Saccharomyces cerevisiae S288C: one gene and its partner. The main gene of each other region encodes a partner of the protein of the gene in region 2 in a complex. Each region holds a gene or a part of one and is shown on either strand. Other genes may lie near its edges. The genes, in order: RPA43 and RPA12.

Region 1 (12,408 bases), on a different chromosome or scaffold from region 2:
ACTAGAACAATTTGAATCTTGCTCAGCACGCTCTGTCTTACGTATATATCCAATTTCAGTTGATTCGAAAGACATGAAAGATTATTAATGTGTGCATTACCCGGATTGTCAATAACTCATATAGTTAGTATACTAATTAACTAACTATATAACGTGGCATATTAAAGATTAATTGTCCTGGTAGAATATAGACGTATCAGTGTGAGTGCCTCTGTTGATTATGAGACTACTTGCGTTGGTATTGTTATTGTTGTGTGCGCCGCTTCGTGCATGGACTTATAGCTTACGATATGGCATACCCGAATCTGCTCAGGTCTGGTCTATTTTAGTTCATTTACTGGGCGATGTTGATAATCAGCTGTTAACTAATTTATATCCTTTGGTTACCGGTTTGGATGACGAGATTGATATTCAAGAAAATCTTGTGGCGCTAACTTCCAATGTATTAAGGGAGCGATACGATAAAGAGGATGTGGCTGATTTATTGGAACTGTATGCTAGTCTTTACCCTATGGGTATGATACAGCACGATATCAGTTCCAATGCAGAACAAGACGATGCAAATAGTAGCTATTTCGTTTTGAATGGTAATAGGTACGAAAAGCCCGACGACGTGTTCTACTTGAAATCTAAGGATTTAACAATTCAACAGAAAGTCCCAGATGTTGATGTTATACAACCTTACGATGTTGTCATTGGTACTAACTCAGAAGCGCCGATATTGATCTTGTACGGTTGTCCTACCGTTATTGACTCCGACTTCGAAGAATTCAATAGGAATTTATTTATGGAAGCAATGAATGGAGAGGGAAAATTTAGATTTATTTGGAGATCCACATGTTCCCTTGATGGGAAAAGCGTGGAGTATCCCTTAACTCATCCGCTTGAAATTACTTTACAAAATGGTTCTAGAATGAGCTCCATACCTCAATTAAAAAAAATACTATATACTGTACCCAAAGAAATATTGGTTGGAGCAGACAACGATGATCAGCTCCATGATCTAGAACCAGAAGAATTACGTGAACTTGATTTGAGAGTAACATCGTTAATCTCAGAATTTTACCAATATAAAAAGGATATCACAGCCACTCTAAATTTCACCAAAAGTATTGTTAACAACTTTCCACTAATCTCTAAACAACTGATTAAGGTTTCATCTGTTAACAAGGATATAATAACAAGTAATGAAGAACTCAATAGTAAAGGCTTCGATTACAACATGCTAGGTCTCTATATTAATGGACAGAATTGGAAAATTACCTCACTGACTCCGTACAATTTGCTTACTGCTTTAAAAACTGAATACCAAAGTTTACTGAAAATTACGAACCTTTTGCAAGAACTCGAGCCATCGAAATGCATACTAGATTCCAAGTTTTTACTCAATAAGTTTTCTCAATTTTCATTGGGGAAGTTGCAAAACTTACAACCAATCAAAATGGATCTCCACACAATTCCAGGGTTCTCAGAATCAGTAATATACTTCAATGATATCGAAAGCGACCCGCAATATGACGAATTAGTAAATAGTGTTCAAGCATTTTTTGATAAATCGAAATTCGGAGAGTTGCCTGAAATAAAGCAAAACTGGTCAGAGATCATATTCGTTATAGATTTCGCCCGTTTAGAAGATAGTGAGGTGAAGGAGGCATTGGGTGGGTTGGTTCGTGCCGTTAATGTTGTCTCCCAGGGATATCCGCAAAGAGTCGGACTATTGCCATTTAGTTCAGATAGTGACAAGTCCGTTGTTAATAAAATTTACGAGCTGAAGAACTCAACTGACAATTTAACAGAATTAAAAAGTTTTTTGGAGACAATGCTGCTTGCAGATGGCCTTTCCGCGAATGCAAAACATTCAAAACACATACCAGTTCCAGATGTTTTCCATCTACTTGATGAACTTCAAATTGACGAAACATCAATTATAATCAATGGAGAGATTTACCCATTTAGAAAAAATGCTTGGAATTATTTAATTGCAAAAGTTATCAAAAAGGACACTGAATTTATTCGTAAAGAATTGAGCAATTCTTCTCCGAAAAACAAACAAATTAGCGTAAGGGACTTATTGCATTACAAATCTGCAAATCTGAGACATAATAAATATACACCAAATTATTTTGCTGATTCGGTATATTCTTCGGTCAACAATACTGCATTGGAAAGCGTATGCTCAGAAAGAATAGGCTACTATACTAAAAATGAAGAATACAATTTATTACACACAATCACATTAGTGGATGATTTTGGCTCTATTCATGCTTTGAAAAGATTGAGAAACTTGTTGCATACTTCCTTTGTTGGTGTTAGGATCAGAATCATTCACGTAGGTGATATTTCTGATATTTGGTATCAATTGCGTGGAAGTCTTTCCCAAAAAGATCCAATAGGCTCAATAAATACATTTATTGATGCTTTGAAACTTAAAAAGGTAAAAAGTCACACGTACAAAAAAAGCGGCTTAAACCAGTTAGGCCTTCATAAATGGCTTCCTGACATTCCATTATTTGAATTGCAAAAGGGTTCATTTATTGCTTTGAACGGTAGATTTATTCATCTTGATCAAAATGAAGTGCCAGAAACAGAACATTTCGAAGCAATCATAAAGAGAGAAGCTCTAAGAACGATCGATTCAGTTTTCGCCCTAGATTTACTTTTTCCAGGTTTCTCACAGGAAATAATCAATCCTGATTTGATAGAAATGATCTCCTCCATTTTAACTAGGTTGTTTTACCAAGGTACACATATATACAATAATGGTATTGATTATACCACTGAAAGTAGCTTACCAAGAATGGATTTGAGCGAGTTTTTTAGACCTAATAATTTAACGATGTTTGAAGATGGAAAATCAGCTTCTATTGATTTACTACTAATTTTAGATCCACTTGAAGAGAGAACGCAAATGATTCTTTCTCTTGTTGAGCAATTCAGGCCTTTGAAATTTGTTAATATTCAGGTAATTTTAATGCCGACACTGGAATTAAACATTGTCCCTATTAGAAGAATATACGTTGATGACGCAGATATTGTCAAATCAATAACTTCTGAGGATAGCAGATCAGATCCAGAAGTAGATATTGAAATGGATGTTCCTAATTCTTTCATTGTAGATAATAATTATCGGATAAAAAAATTGCTCATAGAATTACATTCCTTCTCTAGCAAAACAGTCCTTTCAACTGGCAATATTGATGGTATGGGGGGTGTATGCCTAGCACTTGTCGATTCTGCAGGGAACATTATTGACAAAACTACAACAATGAAAACCTTTGGCTATGGACAATTTCATACCGACAAATTTTTAAAGGGTTGCTATATAAAAAGTTGTGATTCAAGATATACCGTTCAGTCATTTTCTACTGACGGGCATCCCGACTTTATACCATCAGATTCCTTGGATATACTGTCGTACAATCCACAAAAAATCGCTGTAAAAATTTCAGAAGAGCCTACACACGAGGAAGAATACGAGGAAGGTCGCAACAATGATACAATAATCAATATTTTTACTATTTTAGAGTCCGGGCCAGATGAGGAAGAGAGGTACATGCAAATGATTTTATCCATTTTGTCAAAGTGTCCCGAAACGCAAAAGGTGAATTTTTTCATTTTAGATCAGCCGTTTATCTCCGACACTTTAAGGAAATCATGTGAGTATATAAATTCCTCTGATGAAATGAGAGGCAATGTCATTTTTTTGAATTATGAATGGCCTCAATGGTTAAGACCGCAAAGATTTTCTTCAAGGAGAAGGGATGTCTCTAGATTTCTGTTCTTGGATGTCCTTTTACCTCAAAACATCTCCAAAGTGTTATATATGAGTCCAACTGAAGTACCGCTGGATCCTTTTGACATTTTTCAATTTCAAGGCCTCAAACGTGCACCTCTAGGACTATTCCGAATGAGTGGTGATGGTTATTGGAAAGAAGGATACTGGGAAAAAATGTTAAGGGAGAATAATTTAGAATTTTATTCTACCGAACCGGCCTTTTTAGTAAACTTAGAGAGGTTTCGGGAGTTAGATGCTGGTGATAAATACAGGATTCACTATCAACGTATTTCTACAGACGCCATGTCTCTTGTCAATATCGGCCAAGATCTAGTTAACAACCTACAACTCGAGGTTCCGATTAGGTTTCTCAAGGGATCGTATAAGAAGAAATTAGTTATTAATGATGAATGTGTTTCTGAATGGAAGAAAAAAATAAATAAGTTCGCATCCTCTCCTGGCGATGAAGACGTACCTGGAGAAAGTGTTAGCAGCAAATACCAAGATTCCGACAATGCCGCTCCTCTGCATGACGAATTATAACTACTCGCAGGAAGAGTTCATTACGCGACGGTTCCAAGAGCGTGAAAGAATTGCTTCTGCGCATAAGTCTTCTTCCATAATAGATTTTTATATCATTTTTAGAACATAAAATTTCTCGCCAAGAGTTTTTTAAGTAAAAGCAGATTATCCAGTAACATGGGTTCCGCTTTTTGAGCGAATACTATGAACGAGTTTTGCCCGTGCTCCCCATGACTCATTAGATTCTTTGATGACAAAAGATCACTGGCAGAAGTCTGTTTCGCTTCTTTTCTTTTTTTTTTTTTTTTTTTTTTTTTTCGAGCAGATTGCAATCAGCGATGAGACAAAAATGGAAAGTAGGTATGGGCTGACGATTGCCTAAACGGTTATCAATTGGTTACTATAAACGCCTCTATTATATGAATATACCTATTTATTGAATCCCTTCATTAATATTTAAGAAGACAGAGGCTATATATCATCTGGATCAAAAAATGACAGCGCCATTGTGGCCAAACAAGAATGAAAAAAACCACACAGTTAAAAGAGCGTTATCAACGGATATGACCAGCAATATTTTGAGTAGCACAAACGCGAGCTCAAACGAAGAAAATTCTAGGAGTTCTTCTGCAGCCAATGTACGCTCCGGAACAGGTGCAAATACACTTACTAATGGCGGCAGTACTAGAAAGAGACTTGCGTGCACTAATTGTAGAAATAGAAGGAAAAAATGTGATTTAGGATTTCCCTGTGGTAACTGTTCCAGGTTGGAATTGGTTTGTAATGTTAATGACGAGGACTTAAGAAAGAAGCGGTACACTAATAAATATGTCAAGTCTTTGGAGAGCCATATTGCTCAACTGGAGACCAACTTAAAAAACCTAGTTCAGAAGATCTACCCTGACGATGAGCAAATACTGAACCGAATGATGGTAGGTGATGTATTATCAGCTCTACCAGACAGTTCACAAGTCTCAATCAATTATACTGACCAAACTCCCTCTCTTCCAATTCCCGCAACCAGAGGTACATTCATTATTGAAAACGATAAGGTCAGTCAACCTCTATCGTCCTTTAACCAACAAACAGAGCCATCTACTCTAAACTCGGGTATCTTCAACACCCAAAAACAAAATTTCGAAGAATCCCTTGATGATCAGTTACTTTTACGAAGATCGTTAACACCGCAAGGTGAAAAAAAGAAGAAACCGTTGGTAAAAGGTAGTCTTTATCCTGAAGGACCTGTCAGTTACAAACGGAAGCACCCCGTAAAATCGGACAGTTTATTGCCTGTGTCTTCGTTAACAGCTGCTACAGACCCATCTACTTTTTCTGACGGTATAACTGCTGGTAATTCCGTCCTAGTTAATGGTGAACTGAAAAAACGTATATCCGACTTGAAGACCACCGTAATAGTAAGAGGACTAAACGATGATAATCCCAACTCTATCAATAACGATCCCAGGATTTTAAAATCTCTTTCCAATTTCTATAAGTGGCTGTATCCAGGTTATTTTATTTTTGTTCACAGAGAAAGTTTTCTTTATGGATTCTTCAATCACTCCAAGAATAACTATGAAGACTCAAGTTACTGTTCTGTCGAATTGATATATGCCATGTGCGCTGTCGGTTCGAGGCTTACACCGGATCTACAAGAATATTCAGAAGTGTATTATCAACGAAGTAAGAAGACTTTATTACAGCTCGTCTTTGATGAGCAAAGTACAGCCCGTATCACCACCGTCCAAGCGCTATTTTGCTTAGCCTTTTACGAACTGGGGAAGGGTAATAATCAATTAGGGTGGTACTTCTCGGGCCTGGCTATCAGGGTCGGCTACGACATGGGATTTCAACTGGACCCTAAAGTCTGGTACGTTGATGATAACAATCTGCAGCTGACCCAAAGTGAGTTGGAAATAAGATCAAGGATTTACTGGGGTTGCTATATAGCGGATCATTTTATTTGCCTGATGTTGGGTAGAACGTCCACATTAAGCGTTAGTAACTCAACCATGCCAGAGTCGGATGAGCTGCCAGAAGTCAACGGCACCGAAGAGTTCAGATTTATTGGAAGACATGTTTTACAGATATCCTTGCCTCTGAAAAACTTGATAATTCTATCAAGGCTTGTACAAATCTTCACCTCTAAAATTTTCATCGAGTCGGAAGATATAGCACGAAAACTAAAGTACTTGAACACTTTCAATTCTCAGGTTTACAACTGGAGACAATCTCTACCGGAATTTTTGCAATGGTCGAAAACACTCATCGAGAACGATGACGTATCCACAGACCCCACTATATCTTACTTCTGGTATTGCTACTACATAGTGCGGCTCACCTTTAACAAGCCATTTATAGAAGACTCTCAAGAATCCGAAACGGTAGTCATAGAGATCATCGATGATTTGAAGACTTTGCTGGACAATTTCGGGAAAAAATTCGGAAACTACACGAAGGGAAACCTTTACCAACTTTACTCATGCCTGTTGGCCATCAACTGTTTGAAGAAGTTGAAAGAGATACGTTCCAGTGAGCAAGACTCATGGAATGCACAATTGGATTTTTTCAATCACATCTTCTACACACAACTATATCCCGCATATGATCTGCCGAAAAAGCTGCAGGAGGATACGGAGCTGGAAACAGAACAAGAAAACCAGATGTTGAACCAAGTTGGAAATATAAACTACACGCACGATTTTTCACTCTCCCACGAAATTGACGATCTTATCAGAGAACTGTTTGGGGTGGGCACACCTCAAAAACTCTGACGATCTTTATATTTGTCACCTTTTCCGTATCGGCGGCTAAAAGGCGATGCGGTGCACAGGCGCGGGGTCCCTGGGAAAAAGAAATGTTCAAATTAACATTTCTTTTTCTTGTTTTGTGGCTCTTCTAGAAGGATTTTTAATCAGCATAGCCTGCGTTAAAATTTTTTACCGGATCTTATATATCTAAGACATCTACTCTGTTTAAATACTTAACGAACATCATAGAGAATCAACTAATAATATAGATTAGAAAAGAGAATTTTTTTCGACTGCGATGCTAGATAACATGCAATTTCATTCTCCAGCACCGGAACATCCTCAATTGAATGGGGGTATTAACAAAATTCCCGCTTCCCACAAAATAGGTTACAAATTAAACCAGCAAGTGCAGAGATTGGCTGTGGTCAGGAATAATATTGAAGAGAGATTGAACTCGATGGAATCCTCACACGGACAGATATCCGATAGTAGCGTTGTCCGTGCTATCGATGCAAGTATCGATGACTTCCTAATACCTTCACCTCCATTATCGCCAAAGCTGAGGCAATGCCCCATAATAAGCCAGCCTCAGCTGGTTAATGTGGAAAGCGACCATAGGGAGCTGATCATGTTGACCCCCGTTTGGGAAGCGGGCTTGAACTCTCAGAAGTACAACCATAATACAAGGAATTTCTTATCGCAATATAGCTTCTTCCGAGATATGAAAACAACGAAAAGGATTCCTAACAAAGAAAATAGGAAATTGAAAGTGGTAAAATCTGTTGTGAACTCAGAAGCTCTGCCCAAGAGAAGAAGATACGATAGGAAAATTAAGAGAAGATCAAGGGAGTTGTACGAAGATGATGGAAACAGGTCAGAAAACTATGATGAAGAAAGTGCTCAAGAAGTTCCAGTTAGATCAGTGACTCCGATACGTCAAGTTAAAAGGTCTCTTCATACTATTTCTTCGCCATTGGCCTCACAGGGCGTAGTGAATAATGTCCCCAAGTATATTCCAAGCATGTCGTGGGAAAAGTTGCCGGATTACTCACCTCCTCTTCACACTTTGCCGAATAGTAATAATAAAGTTTTAAAAGTGGAATGGAAAGGCTCTCCAATGGACTTGAATCATGATCCTCTCAAACAGCGTCTGCATCCTGCAGAACTAGTTCTCGCACAGATTCTGAGACTTCCATGTGATCTTTATTTGGACTCTAAAAGAAGATTTTTCTTGGAAAAAGTTCATAGATTCAAAAAGGGGTTGCCGTTCAGGAGAACGGATGCTCAAAAGGCTTGTAGAATAGACGTTAATAAAGCATCAAGGCTATTTGCAGCATTTGAAAAGGTAGGTTGGTTACAAGATAAACATTTTGAAAAGTATTTGTAAGAAAGAGGCGGTACGCCTTTGGGATAGCGTATCGTTTCATCGTTTAAACGAGCAAATTTGATAAGTACGGAATATGACAGTCTCATTGAGTAATACAGAATTGAGGCGTTTAAATGGTTATGGTTAAGGGTTACGGTTACGGTTTTTTATTCTTAGAACACATTTGATATATTTTTATTTATGGTTTTTTACATATAGATTTCGTTCATATATGAGGTTTTCTTTTTATATTAATTATATTTCTTCGGTTGTTACGTTATCAATTTTGTTATTGAATTATTACGGGTTATGAACGCCGTAGAAAAATAGCATTGGAGTTTGAGAGTCTGTGGCTTTTCTGTCACATCATTTTTTCGTCTAACTTAGGTTAACTCAGTAATCGTCGATTTCTTCATAACAGGCCAGGACCTTTTTTCTGTATTCCTCCATATCTGCATCCCAAAGTTCTGCTGCCACAGCGTTCAGCGGAGATCTGTTATTTGGTTCGCCAAGTAATGACTGCAATGACAATAGAATTGTTTCTACATTATACACTGCAGACCATTTCTCTTTCAGAATGTCCAAACAAATGTTGCCACTCTTATCCACGTTTGGATGCCACATTGGACTCAAAAATTTAATCATTGGCGGATGGAAAGGATAGTTTTGAGGAAACTTCAATGAAACCTTGAATTTAAGTCCACTATACGGTGTGTCTTTAGGGCCTGTAATATACCCTACCCAGTATGTTAAATCATTATCGTCTACGGGAAACGCACTAATACTTTCTGTTGTAGAACTAAGTAGCTGTAGCAGCTCATTTTGTAAACGTTTCGTCACGCAACCACCCTCTTCTACTGCCATTCTATACTAGCAAGCCTCGAATCATACAGGTTTTGTAGCACCTATAAGATGTAAAATATGAAAAATTTTTTCTGATATCTCATTTATCCAGTGTCAGAAGCATGTTTTGTGTCGCTATTAGTCAACGCTTTTTCCTTGAAAATCTCTTTCTAATAATGACATCATTAAAAAGAGTCCATTAACGTTATAAAGGAAAAATATTTCAAATTAAGCTTCATTACTGTTGATATATTGTCGAATTTGCCACGGTTTAGCTACGTATGCAGGACTATTGATTATCAGCACTGTAATAATGTACAATTATTTATATTATCCTATATCAATAACGTATATCTTTATTTGTTTTGATTTTTTCTCATTTTTCCCGTCCTAATCACTATCACTCGATTCACCATCATTGCTTTCACTGGTGTTTTCCTCGTATACGATCTCTGAACCATTATCTTCTTTTACTTCAGGTAAGTCTAGTTCCTTGTGGCTCTCTTTGTTTTCGATTGAAACTTCGTCATCAAATACAATTTTTTTGTTTGAAACTATAGGTAAACTTTCAGCTTGGGAACGAGAGCTGTTATAGCCATTGCCTTCTTCGTCGGCGTCACTTATTAATGTACCGTCCACAGAAACAACTCTTCCTGTAGTATGAACATTTCTCACTGTGAACCTCAATTTACCGTCAATGGGTTCACCATTAGAATCTACCCAGTGGCCCAAAGATCTGTTTCCAAAGGAAAATTTGCCCAAACTATTGCTTCCACCATTGCTATCCTTGTTATCTTCGTTATTATTGTTTCCATTATTTTCATCTGTGTTTATCACGTCAGCATCTTCTTCCACGTCGTTATGGACAAAGGTCCAATCCACAGGGATATTATTCTTTTTGATACTAGCATTAAACGCATCATGAATCAAAAGACCAATGTGTGAGGCGGATTGAATGAAAATGTAACCTTCCAAAACATCTCCAACTTGTGGCTGCCAAACGTATAGGTTTACATGGCACCAAGTAAATCCAAAAGGGGTATCGGGTGTGATTTTTATTAGTTTTTCTGATGTATCTTCTTTGCTTAAAGGATCAGCATCAAGAATTTTCAACCCTTCATAACCTAGCACAACACCTCCAACTTTGTTGTTATATTTCATTACTAATGGGTTCAAGTGCTGCTTCATGACACCTTGCAAGGGATTTTCTAAATACATTGGTGCCAAAGAAACATAGAGAGCAATGGGAACACGCACTATACAGTTGGAAGTTCCATTTTTCTCATCAATTGGGTTTGTAACCTGTTTTTTGTGTTTCTTGATGAACCTTGCGGTTTCGCGGTTCTCATTGGCTCTTTTTACTTGTGACATAATCCACGTTTGTCTCTTATCTTTCTGATATTATTATATATAAGCAAAAAAACGAGGGAGTGTATAACGATAGTCCCTTCGGCTCTATTTTATTGTAAACCTCCACTACATTGTCATATTTGCGATGCCATTAGTATTTTATTGCAGAAAAATTTTTTTCAAACCACCCATACACCCTCATCGGAATCTTTTCATTTCAAAGCGACAGTAATATTTTCTGTCAAGAATACACAAAGGATACACTTGCAGCTGGAATAAGCAAGATTCCACCAAGTTTCTTCTACCTGAAATACATCTATTACGGGGCCTTGATTAAAAGTAACTTAACTTCGCAGTTAAATTTAACTTTACAAGAACGGCATATGATCAGATCGTATCCTTGCCCGCTATCGGAGGGTCTCAGAATTACATCTTATACTGTTTCGAGTTTCTTATGTCTCCTCTTATAGCTAAAATGATTTGAACTTAGAAATTATCGAGGATAGAAGTAAGGCGTTGCATTTCCTTATAACTATCGTGTTTATTTTCTTAGTGGTGGTTCTTTTATTATTACCCGTTTTCTTCGGTAATATTTTATAGTGAAAAATTTTGGTAAAAAAAAAAAAAAAGAAAAAATTTTTTTTATTTCAAATCTCATCTCATCTCTTAAAAAGGTTTATTCTGTTTACTCAAACTCTTCATCAAAAACAAAAGTACTGCGCTAATAATTCTGGTCTTAGGTATCCATTAACTATACAGTGAACTTTATCCTTTTTCTGCTTTTTTTTTGCCGTACTTCGATTATAATCAAAGCCAGAAAGAAAAATGGATATTTCTAAACCGGTTGGTTCTGAAATCACATCCGTTGATTTCGGGATCCTAACAGCTAAAGAGATTAGAAATCTATCAGCAAAGCAAATTACCAATCCTACGGTTTTAGATAACTTAGGTCATCCAGTATCAGGCGGTTTATATGACTTAGCCTTAGGTGCATTCTTAAGGAATCTGTGTTCTACTTGTGGTTTGGATGAAAAATTCTGTCCAGGTCACCAAGGTCACATTGAATTACCTGTCCCTTGTTATAATCCATTGTTCTTTAACCAGCTATATATTTATTTGAGGGCATCATGTTTATTCTGTCATCATTTCCGTTTAAAGTCAGTAGAGGTTCATCGTTACGCATGTAAATTGAGATTGTTACAATACGGTTTGATAGACGAATCTTACAAACTAGATGAAATAACTTTGGGCTCTCTTAATAGCAGTATGTACACTGACGACGAAGCTATTGAAGATAATGAGGATGAAATGGATGGTGAAGGAAGCAAGCAATCAAAGGATATTTCCTCCACTCTCTTAAATGAACTGAAAAGTAAGCGTTCAGAATATGTTGACATGGCCATCGCTAAAGCTTTGTCAGACGGCAGAACTACTGAGAGAGGCTCTTTCACAGCTACTGTAAATGATGAACGAAAGAAATTGGTCCATGAGTTTCACAAAAAACTATTATCTAGAGGTAAGTGTGATAACTGTGGTATGTTTTCGCCAAAATTTAGAAAGGATGGTTTTACAAAAATCTTCGAAACTGCGTTGAATGAAAAACAAATTACAAATAACAGAGTAAAAGGTTTCATTCGTCAAGATATGATTAAGAAGCAAAAACAGGCTAAGAAATTGGACGGTTCTAACGAAGCATCTGCAAATGACGAAGAAAGTTTTGACGTTGGTAGAAATCCTACCACCAGACCAAAAACCGGCTCAACATATATTTTATCTACTGAAGTGAAGAATATTCTGGA
Region 2 (11,882 bases):
GTTATCTAGTATGGAATTCAAGTATTGGTAGAGTAAATAAGGACAATTCTCTGCCAACGCTGTTATAATCAGAAGCGCAGCATGTTTAGCATGGTCTGGCTTCGAACTCGAGAATGAATTCTTTTCCGTGGAGGCAGTAAGCCATTCTAAGCAAGACTTTATCTCAAATTCCACGAAATCAGAGGTATATGTACCTCCTGGAACGGCTAACTTGCCCAGAGTCTTTGCAGCGAGTCTCATGACCTCTACATCATTAGAAGGTATTAGCCCTCGAAGGTAACCAGCCAGTCGTGAAGTTTCGTTAGGCAACCTTTCAGTATATGCGTAGAATGAAATCAAAGTGTCTATGGATAGAACAGCCCCTACCCTAGTGCTCGTTTTTTTTGTATGGACCAGCTCCAAAATCTTATTGTTTATGTCATTTGAAACTGCTTGGAACTCTTCTATCGACAATTCATGTTCCAAGGATACTAGTAGATCAAATAATGAAATACTGGCCAATTTTCGTTCCTCCTTGTAATCACTGGTTAATTCGCGGAAAATTTTCTCCAAAATGGGCTTAAAATTTACATCCCCATTACTGCCAATCACCACTCCATCAAACCTACTAGAAGTCAGACCGAATTCATCCCCGTTCCTGCTCGCATTCATTTTCATGTTCATATTCACATTCAGATTCGGTGCCAACGGCACATTTCTATCCATGTCCATATCGTTGTTAGCCGCTTTCAAAAGTTTACTCTTCCAAATCTGCTCCTCATGCGGTTCCATATCAATGCAAACCTGCTAGCCGGTTGATGTATGTTTCACTTTACCAATGACTCTCTCGTGAAGCTACTATGGCTCTTTTTTAACGTAAGCTCAAGAAGACCCTTCGATAAGGACTTTCAGTAGTCACCCGGCTGTCCGCGGCTTCAAAATGGCGAGAACCCCTTTTCAAAAGTTTCAAACAAAAATATATGAGAGTAGTTTAATCAAGAATTGGCCCTACCGTAAGGCCTCACGATTGAGCAAGAAATTAGGATTCAATGTCATACTTAAACAATCCCGCTGTTGTCATGGACAATGGTACCGGGCTGACCAAGCTCGGTTTCGCCGGTAATGATTCTCCCTCCTGGGTCTTCCCTACTGCAATAGCCACAGCTGCACCTTCAAATACAAAGAAGTCCTCGGGCGTTGGTGCGCCCTCAGCAGTTAGTAATGAAGCATCATACTTTGGAAATTCCACCTCTGCAACCAATTTCAATGGTGCAACAGGTGGTTTGCTGTCTAATAATTTATCCGGTAAAAGAGGTACAGAAGATTTGGATTTCTATATTGGAAATGAGGCTTTAGTAGCATCCCAAGGACCCTCTTACTCTTTGAGCTATCCAATCAGACACGGTCAAGTGGAAAATTGGGATCACATGGAAAGATTCTGGGAAAATTCCATCTTCAAGTATTTAAGAACAGAGCCTGAAGATCATTTTTTCCTATTGACCGAACCACCACTGAATCCTCCAGAAAACAGAGAGCAAGTGGCGGAGATTTTTTTTGAATCATTTAATTGTGCTGGTCTATATATTGCTGTGCAAGCAGTTTTGGCTCTGGCTGCGTCATGGACCTCTTCAAAAGTCACGGATAGATCATTAACTGGTACTGTTATAGATTCTGGTGATGGTGTCACCCACGTCATCCCAGTGGCGGAAGGTTACGTCATTGGCTCAGCAATTAAAAACATTCCAATAGCCGGTAGAGACATCACATTGTTCATCCAATCCTTGCTAAGAGAACGTGGTGAAGCAGACACTTCCTTGAGAACTGCCGAAAAGATTAAGCAAGAATACTGTTACGTCTGTCCAGATATTGTAAAGGAGTTTAACAAATTCGATAAAGATCCTTCTAAATTTGCCCAATTTGTGGTGGAAAACCAAGAAAAGACAAGGAGAAAAGTCGTAGATATTGGTTACGAAAGATTCTTAGCACCTGAAATCTTCTTCAATCCAGAAATTGCATCCTCAGACTTCTTGACTCCTTTACCCACGGTAGTGGATCAAACTATCCAGGCTTGCCCTATTGACGTCCGTAAAGGTTTATACAACAATATTGTACTATCAGGTGGGTCTACCATGTTCAAAGATTTTGGACGTCGTTTACAAAGAGATCTAAAGTCTATCGTAAATAACAGAATCGCACAAAGTGAGCTGTTAAGTGGAACTAAATCGACTGGTGTAGATGTTTCCGTGATTTCTCATCGGAAGCAGAGAAACGCTGTCTGGTTTGGTGGCTCGCTGCTGGCACAAACAGCCGAATTCAAAGGCTACTGTCACACTAAGAAAGATTATGAGGAATATGGTCCGGAAATTGTTAGAAATTTCAGCCTTTTCAACATGGTTTGATTATTGAGTCATGACTCATCTTATAAGGAAAAAGGTACAAAAACAAATGCAAATAACTGAAACGCCCCTCACTTCATTTAAATATACGTATACAACTGATTATATACACGTATATGTACAATCAAGTAACCCCAAATGCTGATCTGAGAAAAAAAATTGTGGGATATGTGATTAAAACTTATCTTTTATTATTTATTTATACAAAATCAATACTCATCTTTACCACTAATGATGACGTTATCAATCTTTAAAATCATTCTACATAATTGAGTAGCTAAAAGAATTTGCTGCTTTTTGCCAATAAATGGATCAACGACAAATAGTTCCTTCATGTCATTAGACCCGTAACCTAAGCAATCGACACCAATGTTGGAAATCTTTTCTTTCAGTTGTTTACTTTTCAATGTAGACAAAGTTCCGATTGGATCAAGACCAGAATTTTCAGCCAAAGTCATTGGAATGGTGTCTAACGCTTGGGCGAATCCACGGAATGCATACTGATCAATACCACGTTGCTTATCAGCTTCCTCAGAGACAGCCAGGGACATAGTCACTTCGGCTGCTCCCCCACCGTAAACTACACGTGAGTCTTTAACCAAGTTACGTACCACACATAGTGAGTCATGCAATGCACGTTCAGCTTCATCCACGATCATTTTATTGGAACCGCGAACAAAACATGTTACAGTTTTTGTTTCTTTACTTTGCTCGATAATCAGCATACGATCCTTAGTAGTACCAAACTCCTGCTCGTAAATTCTGGAACATGTACCTAATTTATCCTTAGACAAGTCTTGAAATCTTGGAACAATGCGACCGTTTGTGGAAATGGCAATGTGTTCTAGTTCTTGGCCACCTACCCATCTTACGGCAGGTAAATCATTCTGTAGAAGTAGATGATTGGCCTCATCGTCAAACCCCCATTGGCATATAACAACATCTGCGCCCGCTTTCTTCACATCGTCTATCATTTCTTTGAACTTATCTTGTTCATAAGTCTGTAATTTTTGGTATTCTTCTACTGAAGAAATGTCTAATTTATGCTTGGTCTTTGGTTTAGGAGGTTCAAATGGACACGTTAATATAGCTAACTTAACACCATCAGAGCCCTCTTTTGGTAAAACACATTTAGGCATTTGTGGATGAGAAAAATCTTTATCCAAAATGACACCATTAATCAATTTTGAATCGCTTATAGATCCGCCAACCCGTCCTTGCATTTTGATTAAATCGAAATCCACGTCTTTACGATCTTTGTCCATGACATTTATGACGGCTTCCACAGCCATTTCAGCAAATCTATCATGATCCTTGGAAACAATTTTGGAGCCCAAAGAAGTTTTGGCGGCCCTCAATAAAAAGTCCCTGAACAATTCATCGTTTGACGCAGAAATGTCGTCACATGTTTCTTCTAACTTGGAAATGGCTAATTTGGCGGCTTCATCAAATCCATTAGCGATTTTGATTGGATGTATACCCTTTTGAATTAACTCCAATGCTTGGTCAAGTAGCGCACTTGCCAGAACAACAACACCAGTAGTACCATCACCAATTTCATCATCTTGAGATTTGGAAAGTTGTACTAACAACTTTGCAATCTCATTATCTAGCTCCATTTGGGACAAAATTGTAGCACCATCGTTAGTGATGGTGATTTCACCGTCAGGTGAAATCAAGATCTTATCTAACCCACGGGGACCCAACGAAGTTTTGATAATAGAAGCTACTGATCTAGCAGCCAATATATGTGATTTCTTGGCCTCTAATCCGTGCTGTCTCTTCTTGTTACCTTGATCCTTCACGATAATAAAGGGTCTACCCATCTCGTCTTGTGCCACAATGGCGTTCGACAGATCCGGCATTTCCATAGGAGGTTGTTGTGGACGAGCAGCCATTTTCAAATATTGCTATAAAAATGGATGATAGCTGTTATTACTTTGAGTTTGTAGCTCTTTATCACGCACACCTCATTTGCCACATCCACCAAGACACTATTATATTTCTAGTTGTTCCTTAACAAAATTTTTCATTCAATGGCATAAATCACTTTACACGTTCTCGAGAACAGTAGATGCGATGAGTATGATAAATAGTAAGAATAATATGATAATGTACGCTATTATATCGTCAGTACATAGATTTTTTGTTTTTATAAATGATGTTCTATAGATGTTCACATGATGAAAGCGGGGATGATATTAATGTACAAATTGTAATATGTGCGAACACAACCCAATCAATTGTTGGTACGGAACTTGTAACCACAGGAAGTGCATGTATAGAAGACAGTAGCACCTTCATCTGCAGATCTTAACTGTAAAGTATGATAGTTCATCTCTTCATTTCCACACTGAGGACACTTTTCCTTGATAGTAGCGCCGTCTTTCAGTTCGTTCTTCTTCAAAGAAGTTTTAACCACGGATTTCTTGGCTCTAAGAGAAGATGGAAACGCATCGTCTGCCGTCGTGGTGACGACTTTTAAATTGGAGAATTGTGACTTGGGATATATGGCTTTACATTGGCTGCATTCAACGTTAGAGCCTAATACGGCATTAGGATTTTCCAGGAGATCACCACAGTCCAAGCAAAAAATTAACGATCCTACAACAGACATTCTTATAAGTACTAACCTGGATTGCTTTAAGCCTTTCTTTTCTTCTTGGATTCTTTACACTTGCCATGCAATGCCCTTCACTTGACATAAATTTGATTTTTTTTTTTTTCATATTTTTCATCTTTCGTTCGTAACGATATATAATTATTTACCCTGCACCATTCAAGAGGGTATATATCTCACTTAACTATTTTTGTTTTATAGCCCTAATAGATATTCATTCGTTGCCCTAGTAAGGGATAACCCTTCTTTGGAAATAAAACCACTTTAGTTTCACACATTTTAAGCATTTCAATGCTAAAAAGTGCTAGTTTACAGCGATAACTCTATCGTGACATTCAGTGAATGCTAATAGACGCAATTCATGGTGCTAAGATGAGCACAAAACTTTTAGTATCACTAAAGGTACTAGTAATTCAACTCAATCCGCAAATTGGGCAAGTAGATCAAACAATTAAGAGAACATGGTCAATATTGGATAAAGTTACGAAAAGTGCCACCTATGTGAAACCAGACATAATACTATTCCCCGAATTTGCATTGACAGGTTACAGTTTTCATGCCAGAAAAGATATTTTACCTTATGTTACTAAGAAAGATGAAGGGCCCTCTTTTGAACTGGCTAAATCAATATCCGAGAAATTTCAATGCTACACTATAATAGGATATCCTGAAGATGATGATGAACAGAAGCTATACAATTCTGCCCTGGTAGTAAATCCGCAGGGGGAGCAGATCTTTAATTACAGAAAGACTTTTCTCTATGATACAGAAATGAATTGGGATTGCGAGGAGAATCCAGAGGGATTTCAGACGTTTCCCATGGATTTTTCAAAGTGTGCTAAGCTTTCTAATGAGGACTCTTACAACAGAGATGTGACTTTGAAAGCATCAATAGGTATTTGTATGGACTTAAGTCCCTACAAATTCATGGCCCCCTTTAATCACTTTGAATTCTCTTCTTTTTGCGTTGACAATAATGTTGAATTGATTCTATGTCCAATGGCGTGGTTAAACTCTACTTCTATCACAGACAAACAGACGTTACATAACAATTCATTATTAGAAGCCGCTAAGAACAAAATAGCTTTCGCTTTAAAGGAGCAAGGGTTGCCTTTGGCAGGATCTCAAGGAATTTACCAGCTTAAAATTGGTGATTCGCAACGTACGCCCAGAGTGCCTTCTGACGACAGTACAAGTGAATATAAGGATATGGATGAACCAGATATGTCAAACGTAAACTACTGGATTCTACGATTTTTTCCTTTTTTGTACTTTAAATCCAGAATTAATTGGTTTAAAAATTCATCTCTTATCGAAAGCATTTTGGGCAAAACTAGAATGCCCCTAGATCATGAATATTATAAAGATGGAAAGCACAAGGAGGACACAATAGACTTATTGGATTCTGAGGAAGTGATAAAGGATACAGTACTGGAAAAGACATTTTTGGGAACCTCCCTTGGACAGCCTTGGAAGTTCCAAGGAAAGAATGCGATTTTGGTGCTAGCTAACAGATGTGGTACTGAAGATGGTACCACGATTTTTGCAGGAAGTTCTGGCATTTATAAATTTAACGGTAAAAAACCTAAAGGTTCACAGGATGATGATGAGAGTTCGCTTGATTCTCTCAATGAAAGCGTAGAGTTGCTGGGTAATTTGGGCAAGGGTCTAGAAGGCGCTATATTGCGTGAGGTCCAATTTGAAGTGTTTAGGTGAAGGAATATTATAATAAATTAGACATTATAAATTAATAAGGTTACACGCATATTTATGTTATTGAAATGTCGCCGTAAGGGCCGAATTTAAGTGAGGCAAGAATGAATAAATAATGGTTTTTGTTATTATCCTATTCCGAAGGATAAGGGAACGTTTTTTAATATTTTTGGTCTGAACCAAATATATTGTTTGAAGTTTTCTTATTATCACCAAAGAGATTTAAGCCCTTAGAATTCAGATCATTTACAGTCTTACTGTTGCCGCCATCGGGAAGTCTGAAGCCGTCAAAGTTTCTTTCATATACTTGCTGGGACCGTTCAACAAACTCTTTACCTTTTTCCTTCTCAACTTGTGAAGCAATGTTGTAGATGTTTGACGCATTCAACAACTTTTCCACGTTTTCCCATAACTTTCTTTCGTATATATATATGATCGGATCTTTTTCTGGTGATTTTATTTTTTTTGACATTCCTCGCCGTAGAGTTTTTAATAGACTACTTTTTTCTTCCTCACTCAAGCTAGGATCATACTGTATTTCAAGCTCTTTGAGTCTGTAAACAGTACTGTCAAAAGAATTAAATAAGCTGGCAAATACGGAGTGAAACCCACATTTTAAAATGTTTGTTATCAGTAGGCTTATGTCGCTGAATTTTAAATCATTTAAGGGACTTTCCAGTCGTGTTATCTTGGGTTCTTTCAGCTGCAAATTTGCAAACTTCTTCATGTCTGCAAACGAGAACCAGTATCTGAATTCCGGTAAATACACCTTACCTTGGAATGACAAAAGCCCGTATTTTGCCGGAACTTTATACTCATTATTCAATGTTGCTATGGGCCTATTAGGAACAAATGCTGACACACCGCTGAACATTGTATTTCTCAAGGGTGATATGATGTTTAGACTGGAAAAATGCTGGTTTCTACAATTGTAAAGGTTATACTTCTCATTTACCAAATACCTTTGTTTCGGAGACAAGTCTTTTTCAGCATAATCGCTTCTCGAAATTGCAAGCTCTTTCTTGTATGTTTTGGTGACTAAATTCTTTTCTGCATCCGTAAAGTCGTCTGGATGAGAATTAACCCATTCCATTAATTCATGTATGGTATATTTAGCTAAACCTTCTCTACCATCCACCTCGTCAAAATAGTCGTTTTCGTCAAACTTATAGTCTTCAATAAGGGCAGAAAAGCTTTCGCCCGAGCTTTCTTCTTCTACAAATTTGGACATGTACTGTTTAGCCGCATCGGAACTAACGCTAAGTCCCGTGATGTCAATGTATATACCTGAGTCAATATCGATGAAACGAGCATCAATATTGTTTTCGCCGTTCCCATGAACTCCTACCGTAATTGCGCTTCCTACATCTAGTAAGAATCTTCCATTACCTTCTCTTGGATCTTCTAATATTAGGGATTGGTTGAAATATTGACTCAAGTAATGTAAATGTTTAATGGGCATCTGTAAATCATGGTCGACATCCCAGGGAAACTTCAGACCATCATATAGATATCCATACAATGTACCATGCGATAGCCAGGAAATTAATCCGTTAGCCTTAACAAATTTCTGAAAATTTCTGATCAAAGAATTCAATCTTGCTTCAAACTCCTGAGGGTCATTTAGGAGATTATGTCCGATTGAGAAAAATCGCCTGTCTCTATGATGACCATCGGCAGTCGCGTCCGTAATATCAGAGGCCTCTGCGAAATACTTTTGCTGTAATGCAGGGGACGTATTTACGGACGTCTTTAAACTTCGTAAATAGTGGGTATCATGAGATGGTAGGCCTTCAGACCTGAGCCTGGTCTCTAATTCAATGATCCTCTCTTTTGCATTGAATTGGAAATCAGATGGTGATAGTTCTAGATACTCTCCAGCGTATATTGTTTTATCCAACGCTTCAACGTCAAGTTTCCTTTTTTTAGTGGATCCATGATGTAAAAATTTTTCAAACATGGAAGTGTGGTTGAAAATGAGGTCGCCATTTACCATTTCATTTCTGTGCCTCTTAATGTAATTCTGTAGTAGATTTGTCTGTACTATATTTGATTTGGAAGAGTCTGTTGTCTTCAAATTGATTCTGTATGCATCTTTATCGCTGTCCAGTACGGTTAATGACAGTGGAGTAAAGTTAGAATATAACAAGTGGTTTTTGGCTTGTAAGTCATACACTTCTGGCCTCAACCTTTCAGAAATTTCGCTTATGATAAAAGGCAATTCGAAGGGAGTACCATTGGAATACGCGTCATTATTCATGCAGTGATCATGTATGGCTTGCTGCACAGAATTAGAATCGACAACCTTTCTTACCCTGTTGTACCAGAGCGATTCGTCATATTTATTCCTATTTGTGACGAATAAAGGCTCTTGGACTTCACTCTCTACCATTTCTAGCACATTTTTATCAAAGGCACCCTCGCAAACGAACTGGCAAGATATGTTCGTGTGTCTCAGTGCAATGAGTTTGTTTGTAGAGTCAAAATTAGCCCAATCGTACCACGAAAATGCGTATTCATTGGAATCTGATTCTAATAAGTGATCTAGTAAAACTGACCATACCAGCCTTGGGTCGTTATCGTAATATCTCAATTCATCTACCGAATCAAGAACTTGCCCTTTTTCAGGACCCATTTTCACAGTGAGAAGATTATTCTTCAAGGTGTACGTGTCGATCCATTTGCCTGAAGTATCAAAATTCATTTTTTCGTAAAGTTTGGCTACGTTGTCTTTTGATCTCAGATCGAAAGAAGCATGGTTGTTGTTTCTGTTAGTGTAAGCAAGCGGTTTGAAAAAGAGCGCCATGAATGACTTCCAGTTACCGTCAATAATCGACGAGCGACCGCCCAATACAAATATGGTAATGAATAGTAACTGGATAGTTAGAAGAGTAATGATTATCTTTTTAAAGTGAAGCCGCAGAGATCTCAAAACGTACATGGAGAACCTGCGCAGTGATAACATCATTGGAATTGTATCTTGCTTCGCTTTCTTTTCTCTTTCTCTCTTTCTTTCTCTTCCTCTCGTTTAGACAATCTCAATGATTCTAATTCATAAAAATAAACGTTGGTTGTTTTCCAGAAAGTAAATAACAGTTGTTGTTAACTATATAAGATACAAATAGCGGAATGCCAGACTAAAGACAAGTGCACTCTTACTTGATCTTCGTCCAATGTTTCTTCTTAAATAATCAAGCAAAGCCCCAAAGTAGAAATAGGCCCGTGATTGTCGCGGACCTTCAAGGATGTGACGTTTTTGCCTGTTTTTTTCAGGTAATCCTCTCCACTACTATCTTTTTTCTTTTCTGCGACCCAAAAAAAAAAAAAGGAAGGGAAAACTAAGATTTTTTGATAAAAGGCGGGAAAACGGAGGTTGTGCGTATTTCTCTTGGCGATTTTTCCATTGAACGTCAAAAAATTCTTGGCAAAACTTTTTTACTAAGCCATTTAGGGATGAAAAACAATAACGTACAAAGACATATTTGAAAGTCCGTCCCGTCCTCTTTTACTTGCTGAGTTTGAGGCTGAGTGATTCTCTAATACCATCCGGGCGGTTTCAAATATGCCGATGGAATATTGATAAAAACTTAACAGAGGTGCTATGGGGCAGAGACGCAGATACATAGGGAGACTCGAAATACATTTAGCTATCTATTTTTAACTCTCAAGCCTCATGTGGATTATCGCTCCTAGTGCTTTTTCTTTCGTTCTCTTGTTTCTTGTGAGTGTGCATATCCTCGTATTCTATTCCCTCCTTCCTTAAAACGCGTTTCATGTACTCGATTTCTTTGTAAGCATTTCCCAGTTCTTCCTGCAGTTTCTCATTTGCACTGGCTAATTGCGATGCGTTTTGCTCGCTAAGCAATTTTTGTAACGTCCACTTTTCGATGTTTGCTTCATCGGTTTCTTTCAATTTTTGAATGTATTCAGCGGCACACGCCAATATTGCTGCCTTACTTGATTCTCTCACGGGCAGGAGGTCGCTTAAAACGTTGATTGCAGTGTTGATGTTTTCGCGGCGACGCCTTTCGACTTCTTTATGGGAGTCTTTTCTTTGCTTTTTCCACTCGTCTGTTGTGGCCAAAGTAGTAGGTTTTCTTCCACGACGACCCGGCTGCATGCTTATATCCTTTTTGAGATCAATGTCAGCGTCATCATTGTCTTCATCATCCTGTTGGTGTTCTGGCCCACGATCGTGTTCTGCCAATGGTATGAGCATGTCGTTTTTAGATTGCTGTGTAGATTCCATTGGTGAAGACGTCATTCCCTCCAGGGAGGTGTTTGGCTTGACTCCTTCATTTGATGGGGTTATGGCTCTTTCCCCATTAAGGGAATCCTTGTGCTCACCATTCGCGTTCGTTTGATTAGATGTGTGGGCATCAGAACTATCTTCCTGGCCCTGGATTAAGTCTGTATAATTGACGGTAGCGGCAACAGCAGCCTCAGCCACTGACGCATCTTCGTCATCACTTCCTTTCTCATCTTTGTTAGACGTCAGTCCGCTTTCATACTGACTTTGAGTCCCTTTTAGCGTAGCCCCTTCGCTCAACAGAGCAGAGTCAATATTTCCGTCATTGCTCTCTTGTGACAACAAGCCTTGATCTCTTTGCTTTTTCCTGGCCTCGCTGTAGTTCTGCTCCTCGTTATAGCCTCTTTTTCTTGCCGAATGGATTTCCTCATCCTCAGTAGAAAGCTTATTATTATTTGCCAGAGAGTTCATCGTTAATAAAAGTGTAGAAAACCGTATTATATTTTAAGCACTTGATGTTGGTACTTGTAGCAGAAATGAAAATGACCGCCAACTAAAATGATTAATTAACAAAGTGTTTATCTTTAAGGTATAATGGTTTACATTCTACATTAAATAAAAAAACGTGATAAGCACGTGGATAATTGTTGTTTGCCCAATACTTTTCTCGTCCGATTTTATTTTTTTTTTGACCTTGGTGGGTGAGACATGGTGGTCCCGAAGGATCCGAGAGGAATGAGAAAAACCGATCACGTACATCGATGTACGGGAAAAATAAATAATAAAATGTTTGTTTATTGTTTGAAGTAAAATATATAAGTACATATGTGGATTTATATGTGTGTGCTTTATTTCATTGTTTGATTTATCTTCCGTTCTTTATCTTTTCCCGGTGGGATATTTTATATAAAAAGCTTATAAGGAA

Evidence for each region.
Region 1: RPA12 (region 2) and RPA43 share a complex: the UniProt entries of both Saccharomyces cerevisiae proteins name them as parts of the RNA polymerase I (Pol I) complex.

Annotation. Positions count from the first base shown.
Region 1 is NC_001147.6:949,553-961,960, forward strand, and holds RPA43 (DNA-directed RNA polymerase I subunit RPA43), read right to left. Parts: upstream 10,631-12,408; coding exon 9,650-10,630; downstream 1-9,649. Other genes in the region: KRE5 (Kre5p), read left to right, coding at 221-4,318; TEA1 (Tea1p), read left to right, coding at 4,792-7,071; YOR338W (uncharacterized protein), read left to right, coding at 7,346-8,437; putative E2 ubiquitin-protein ligase UBC11, read right to left, coding at 8,810-9,280; DNA-directed RNA polymerase I core subunit RPA190, read left to right, coding at 11,435-12,408. UniProt on the Saccharomyces cerevisiae protein: DNA-dependent RNA polymerases catalyze the transcription of DNA into RNA using the four ribonucleoside triphosphates as substrates. Component of RNA polymerase I (Pol I) which synthesizes ribosomal RNA precursors.
Region 2 is NC_001142.9:548,305-560,186, reverse strand, and holds RPA12 (DNA-directed RNA polymerase I core subunit RPA12), read right to left. Parts: upstream 4,993-11,882; coding exon 4,615-4,992; downstream 1-4,614. Other genes in the region: phosphatidylinositol kinase-related protein kinase TOR1, read right to left, coding at 1-771; ARP3 (actin-related protein 3), read left to right, coding at 1,029-2,378; chaperonin-containing T-complex subunit CCT5, read right to left, coding at 2,585-4,273; NTA1 (amidase), read left to right, coding at 5,338-6,711; MNN14 (Mnn14p), read right to left, coding at 6,869-9,676; CBF1 (Cbf1p), read right to left, coding at 10,373-11,428. UniProt on the Saccharomyces cerevisiae protein: DNA-dependent RNA polymerases catalyze the transcription of DNA into RNA using the four ribonucleoside triphosphates as substrates. Component of RNA polymerase I (Pol I) which synthesizes ribosomal RNA precursors.